Drosophila melanogaster: one gene and its partner. The protein of the gene in region 1 purifies or fractionates together with the protein of each later gene. This does not show direct contact. Each region holds a gene or a part of one and is shown in the gene's direction. Other genes may lie near its edges.

Region 1 (3,247 bases):
CCATTCCCTTCCTGCAGGCGGACTGGGTTGCGCTTTTATGGGCACGACGGATGGCCGTTCCATGGCCATGGTACTTGAGAAGCTGTGAGTTTTGATCTCGGTTATGCCTGCTTCTACTAACACAAATCATCTTGCAGGGTGCCAAGCATTGATCAGGTGGAGGGCCTTCCGTTGCTCACTTTGTATACCAGGGAGCCCTGTCCACTGTGCGACGACCTTGTAGAGCAGTTGGAACAGGGCTTTGCAGGTCAATACCGTCTGGAGAAGGTTTACATCGACCGAAAGGAAAACGTTAGGTTCCTCCGCCTCTTCAGGCACGACATTCCCGTTCTGTTCTTCAACGGCCAGTTCCTATGCATGCACCGGCTAAACGAGGAAGCACTAAGAGAGCGGCTGGAGGCGCTAAACTAGTCCGATAATCGTTGGAAAAATCGTAAACAAACAAAATTCAATTCAGTTCAAGAAAATTCATAACTCAAGCTCTACTCTACTTGTTTATGATTAATATGGGGCATGCATATTGCGCAGAGTTTTTATTAAGTACAGTGTGTTTTTCATACTATAATCCTTGAAATTTATATTTTGCTCTGCATGGCTATTATAACCGGAAGAAGTTTAAAACATTTCGCCCATGGGTTTGATAGTGATTTCATGTACCTGAAGGTGGTTAGTTAAATTGGTCATAAGTTAATACATAATAGTGATTATGCTCACCTGAACATGAGGCGGAGTTCGCAGAGCATACATCACTGCGTCCGCAATGTTCGCTGGTTCGAGTCTGGCCATGTCTTTGACGTAAAAATGGATCTCTTCCGGGAAGATGTTCGTGTTCACCGCACCAGGACAGATGCCAGTAACCCGGATTTTGTTCGAGTGCAGCTGAAATTCCTGCCGATATGTCTCTGTGATGGCGGTGATGGCAAACTTGGTGGCCGGATATATATTGAACGATGGCAAAACGTCGATGAAGTTGAGCACCTGATGTCCGGCTATGCTGTTGATGATGAGAACGTGACCTTCGCCACCTCGCCGTTTCATGTTATTGAACGCCTCGCGGGTACACCAAATCACGCCCATTACGTTGGTGTCTATGACCTCCTTAAGCTTCTGCGTATTGCTCGGGGTGACCAGTTCCGTCTCGCGAGTAATGCCAGCATTGTTCAGCAGCACGTCGGCGCCCTCCAGCTCCCGTTCGATCCAGTCAAAAGAGCTCTGCACCTGATCTTCCTTGGAGACGTCGCAGCGCCGCGGTATGAAGTTCGCCTGCAGCTCCCGGGGCAGACTCTCCCTGAGCTCTTTCAACTTGGCCTCCCGACGTGCCAGGCCCACCACCCGTAGTCCAGCGCCGATCATGGCCCGAGCACAAGCGGCGCCTATGCCTCCGCTGGCTCCTGTTACCACAGCCAGTTTGTTCTGCCACCGCTCCATGCCGTCTTGTGAATGAGGAGCTGATGCAAGTAAGAAGCCCGCATCGGAAACTCGGGAGCAGTTTCATGGCTTCTTGGTTCGCAATTGAGGTTAATCTCCAACGGTCAAATGTTGTTGTCAGGTTGTAGATATATATATTAAAAGAAGATTCAACAATTTGGGTCAGGATTATACGCACTTAAGGTTAGGCTATCCTTTTATTCTTAAATTGACCTAAAGAAAATGTATTAAGGAACTGCGAGACTTTAAATATAAAATAAAATAGCTCAAATGTATATATTTTTTTAAGATTGTGTACTTTTTAAATTTGAATAAAAATTTTATAAGCGATAACATAAAAATTAATATTTGTACTTGGTAGTGACCAGTGACCACATTTTAAAGAAAAATTCAATTTGCATATTTATTCAAAGTCTTGAAATCGGTTTGAATTTACACTTGCCGGCAAATTGGTTATCGATAGTGCAGGGCGTACTCATCGATATTTTCAGGCCAGCAGGAGTCAGATATAACTGCCATCACTAATAAAGTAGAAAAAAAAAACCATAAGCTTACCGCAGGTGTTGCAATTTTCAGTGAATTCGCAGCAAAGCCAAGCAATTTGCATTCAATCATCTGTGAAGGAAAAGCTATCACACAAAATGGCACAAATGGACATCGAATTGAAGAAGGTGAGCGGAAGGCAAGTTGCCAAAAAGGCCGACTGCCGACGGAGAGCGCGTGCTCTTCCAAAGAACTTAGTCATAGACGATTCCTTTTGCACGCAGGCCTTCACCGAGATGCAGATCAATAAGCTGGAGACGACCAAGAAGATCCACATGATCGACATGAAGTGCGACATGGTCAAGACAGGCAAACAAAAGTACCAGCTGACAGAAAAGGGCACCAGCAGCTTGGCCGACGACACAAGGTACATAACTAGAATCACAATTAATCATCTCCAGGTGTTCAGGTGGCTAATTGAACTGTTTCCCTATAGAGTTTACCAGTCCGTGGGTCGCATGTTCCTGCTTACCGATGTACAGAATATGCGCGAGGACCTGAAGGCTAGGCAGGAGAAATGCGACAAAGCGATAGAACTGCTGGAGAAGAAGAAGGAGTTCTTGCAGAAGTCCCTTAAGAGCCAGGAAGACGGTCTGCGCGAGTTGGTGCAGCAGCGCAAGGAAGCCGATCAGACTGCGAAATAGACTACAACTCCAAACTGGCATTTATCCCTCAACGCAATTGCTTATTTATTTTCAATATACTCGTCTAAATTGAAGTTGGCGTAGCTGACAAACTTGTTGCCCAGATTGCGTTCGTGTTCCGGGCGGAAGCTGCACTTGAGGACGGGCAGGCGAGCGGTTAGCCAGGGCTCCACCACCTCACCGGAGCACAGGATTACCTTGCTCTCCTTCTGGTTTCGTTGCAGCCTAGTGATTATTTCACACGTTTTGGCGATGCACTCCTGGGACAGGAAGGGCGGGTCGGCCACGATGAGGTCATATTGCTGGTGGTGCTCTTTGAGGTAGTCCGGGTTGCTCCCTACGCAGTTCAAGTCGTAGTGCACAAAATCTGTGCCATAGGCCTCGAAACGCTTGTCGAACTCGAATATGTGCACTACAAGATAGAATGATGACAATTCATTCATAATCGTTTCACATGTCCACTTACCTGTGTCATGTATCTCCCTGATGTCCTTGTAGAGCGATGGGCAGGAGAGCAGTGCTATACTAAAGTCACCCGAATCCTCCGTGCGCTCCGCCAGAAGCTTACGCACAACATCACGCAATGCGTGCTTGGTTTCCGTGCTGTACCAGAACTGACTCAATTGCTGCAA
Region 2 (3,640 bases), on another chromosome or scaffold:
TTTCTGTTCGTCAGCAGTGTTTTCCGTATTGTTCCAGTCCTGCAAGTCTAGGTGGCGGATGTGCTTGGCCTCCGGCAAGTAGACAATCTTGAATCCGTCACCGCAGAGCAGAGAGCGATAGTTCTTATCTTCCCCATTATCTGGGGCCTCTACTGGCACAAGTGCCACATAGCGAGGTATCGACTTGCGCTTGCACATGAACAGGCAAATGGCAATCTTGTCGCGCACCAAGCATCGTTCCCACAATGCGCGGAACAAGCGCTTCGATCCGATGATGCTCTGATCATCGGGGTACATGAAATTCGCTGGCTTGATGTAGCTAACTTCGGGAAGAGAGGATCGATGCTTGAAGCCCAGCAGCATCATTTGCGGCTTGTGCAGATTGCGCACCCTGTTCAACTGATCCATGCTGATGCGCAGATCCCTTTCGCCCACGTTGCAAGTGTACCAACCGCCCGTCACCTTAATCTGATACTCGTGCTCGATATCCTGCGAGCCATCGTCCTTTTGTTTTTGCACCGTAATCACTCGCTTAGTACGCACCACACTGTTGTCCCTGCGCAGGATTTGCACTTTGCGCGGATAGGCGCGTCGCTGAAAGTAATTGTAGTACTGTACGGACATGGATAGGTTGGGGCCCAGATAAAAACTGAAGTGGCCCAGGCATCGGCGAAGGAAATCCTGCTTCAACTTACGATCGGACAGGATTTCGCGCAGCATCTGGGCATCTGGCACCTGGAAGGCGTCCAGTTCGATAGCTGCAAAAAAGGTCCTCATTAAACATCATCTAGTGTACGGATTGCTATATATTTATTTTATTATTCTTGTAAGCCAATCCAAAACCACGAACCAATTGAGCTTCACTTGGATGCGGGTGAATGATTGCTTATATTTGATCTACGAAGTCTTAAAACCTTTCAGGCGAAAATTGAACGCCAAACAGGGGAACAGACTTCGCACATTAAAACCCATAAGAAATGAATAGCAGACTTAAAGGACTTACCTCTTGACAACGTGATGAACTCCTTGTAAAACGGCTCGTAGTCAAAGTCATCGACCATGGGAATGACATGAAACTCGAACTCCTTGCCCTCCAGATCGCTGGCCTTTTGCAGGGCAGCCTGGAAGTGATTGCTGTTCGATGGATGAGGTTCCCTGACGTCCGTGACATAGGCGATCTTGGCGTTGTTTAGCTTCTTGCCGCACTTTTCCAGCATCTCGATGCAGAGCCGGATCATAAGGTCAAACCTGCCGCGACCATCGGGTTCCGCCAGGCCATACACATCGGCGAACTGCGTCTCCACCCCGCCCATGAATTCCAGATAGTGCTCCACAATGGGTTTGGTTAGTTGGCGAAGGGGCAAGAACACTGCGCAGTTATCCGGCATTACGATGTTGTCCAATGCACTGGCTTCCAGCGGCGGCGGACTGTGCTTGGTGTTGGCGAAGATGAGTCCGATGAGGTCCTTGTCGTTAACCAGAAGTCCGGATATAAAGGCCGTCCGGATGATGTTCAGTGCCTCCAACAGGCGCTCCACGCCGGCTGTCTGAAGATTGGCGTCTACCACGAACAGAATGGCCTCGCGCCCATGGTAGTCCCGCTTCATGGACACATCCTCCTCGTCCTCGGACCCAGACAGCAGGTCCACATCGTTCTCCGGATTCCAGGTGCTCATTATGCGGCTTCTTTAGATTGCTAAAAATCTGACTTTCCGCTAATTTCACAAGAAGGCGGGCGCGCTTATCGTCGCTGTTGTTATCGATTGAGCTAGGGATGAGAGTCACGAAGAGAATTGATATATATTTAAATTTATTTAGACATTATTTAATGTTTTTAACATATTATATTATCCCAACGTTTATTTATATAATTATTTTAATATAAGTTAGTTTTACATTTTTATACGAAGTTGACCACCACCTTTCGATGACAGCCATTCAATCGATTGTTCCATCGCAATTTTGACTCATCGACTTTTACAGCGGCAGGCTGACCTCCTGAAAATTAAATTGCATTTGTAGACGGCACGGCTGAAGGCAACAGGATGACAGGAATAATGGACTCGGTGGAAATGCCCAAATTACCGGAAAACCAGAAGACCTTCGCCGGCATCCCGGAGGCAGTGTTCCTGGTGAGTGGTCCTAACCTACAAGCGTGCACCTGCAGCTGGACACTGCAGGCTAATTCGTGGTTCTTGGGCCCTTGCAGGAGGAGATCGACACCTTCATGTCGCAGCCGGAGAACGAAAATTGCGAAAAGGTGCTGCAGCGACTGGACGAGCAGCACGGCAAGTATCGATTCATGGCCTGCAATCTGGAGGCGCGGCGGCGCAAGTTGAAGTCTCAAATTCCGGACCTGGAGCGCTCCCTGGAAATGGTCAATGTGCTTCGCAAGGAGGACGAGGAGCGCGAGACGCAATTCCTGCTCAGCGACCAGGTGTTCATCAAGACACTGGTGCCGCCCACGAAAACAGTATACCTCTGGCTGGGGGCCAGCGTGATGCTGGAGTATCCGCTAGACGAGGCGGAGGCTCTGCTGAACCAGAACATCACATCGGCCGTGGGCAACCTAAAGTCCGTGGAGCACGATCAGGATTTTCTGAGGTCAGTTCGAGTGCTGTTATTCAAGTTACTTGTTTTATTGTATTATAAATGTATATTTTAGGGATCAAATCACAACTACGGAGGTGAACATGGCGCGGGTCTACAACTGGGGCGTGAAAAAGCGGCAGGCCGCTACCAAGACCACCGCCACTACCCCATCCTAAGGAGACCCACCCAAATCCCATCCCAAGATCAACATCGGTAGCAGCCACTCGCATCTTATTTATTTCGACAGTACACCGCAAGGGCTCGGCAGGCGATTCCACCTGGCTTATTCTTGTTCTCCACTGATAGCAATAAAACCGCCACACAAACGCATCAAGCTGACTCCAAACGAGATGCCTATTCCGGAGGAATGTAATATTTTAATTTGGCTACGGGCATTTAACTGCATGTAAACCGAATAAACGGCGAACGCAATTCATTGAGAGTAAAGCCGAATTCACAAATCATAGGATTAGGGTTCAGTTTATTTCAAATCTTTAACATCCGGAACTTACACGCCTCATTTGACCTCCCACTTCATGGATTGGTGCAGGTAGTCGCCATCGGGACTGACGTAATCCTTAATGGGGGGCGTGGCAACGGGTCCTTTGACGGCGACGGGCAGCAGCTGGGGATCGATATCGATGGCCGCCTGGTAGAGCTCCTCGGACTCGCGCCGAAGTTCCGCCAGCGCCTTGTTTTGCGCCTGGACCAGCCGGTCGATGATCTGAAAGTCTGCTACGCGCTCGTCGTGCTTGTAGTGCGCCCACTGCTTCTTGAGGAGAGCACGTTCCTCCAACTGGTCGATGGTCAGTGGAGCTAGCTTCCGCTGCCGTTTGCTGAACGATAGGATAGCATTACATCTCAGCATATGAGGGAAACCCGTATGAGAACCTACTCCTTTTCGTCGATGAGCTCCAGTGGAACCTCCAGTTCATCCACGGGCTTCAGCTGACGGGCATTCTTCTCCAGCCGGCGAATCTGCTTTTCGATCTTCTTCTTCTTGCGATCCTCGCGCTGCTTGACAATCTGCGGATCCAGTTTCTTCTTT

Evidence for each region.
Region 2: the proteins of Pfdn1 (region 1) and mgr purify together in Drosophila melanogaster (affinity purification with mass spectrometry, with the first as the bait; one large-scale study listed by BioGRID). This does not show direct contact.

What each region holds. Positions count from the first base shown.
Region 1 is NT_033779.5:6,067,152-6,070,398, forward strand, and holds Pfdn1 (prefoldin 1), read left to right. Parts: upstream 1-1,927; 5' UTR 1,928-2,069; coding exon 2,070-2,099; intron 2,100-2,195; coding exon 2,196-2,338; intron 2,339-2,407; coding exon 2,408-2,615; 3' UTR 2,616-2,656; downstream 2,657-3,247. Other genes in the region: CG9147 (uncharacterized protein), read left to right, coding at 1-84, 138-411; CG9150 (uncharacterized protein), read right to left, coding at 616-657, 715-1,428; CG9154 (uncharacterized protein), read right to left, coding at 2,657-3,027, 3,082-3,241.
Region 2 is NT_033777.3:11,408,174-11,411,813, reverse strand, and holds mgr (merry-go-round), read left to right. Parts: upstream 1-1,938; 5' UTR 1,939-2,045; coding exon 2,046-2,132; intron 2,133-2,209; coding exon 2,210-2,604; intron 2,605-2,665; coding exon 2,666-2,768; 3' UTR 2,769-3,022; downstream 3,023-3,640. Other genes in the region: Irbp (inverted repeat-binding protein), read right to left, coding at 1-758, 1,004-1,676; mRpL40 (mitochondrial ribosomal protein L40), read right to left, coding at 3,110-3,428, 3,488-3,640. UniProt on the Drosophila melanogaster protein: Binds specifically to cytosolic chaperonin (c-CPN) and transfers target proteins to it. Binds to nascent polypeptide chain and promotes folding in an environment in which there are many competing pathways for nonnative proteins.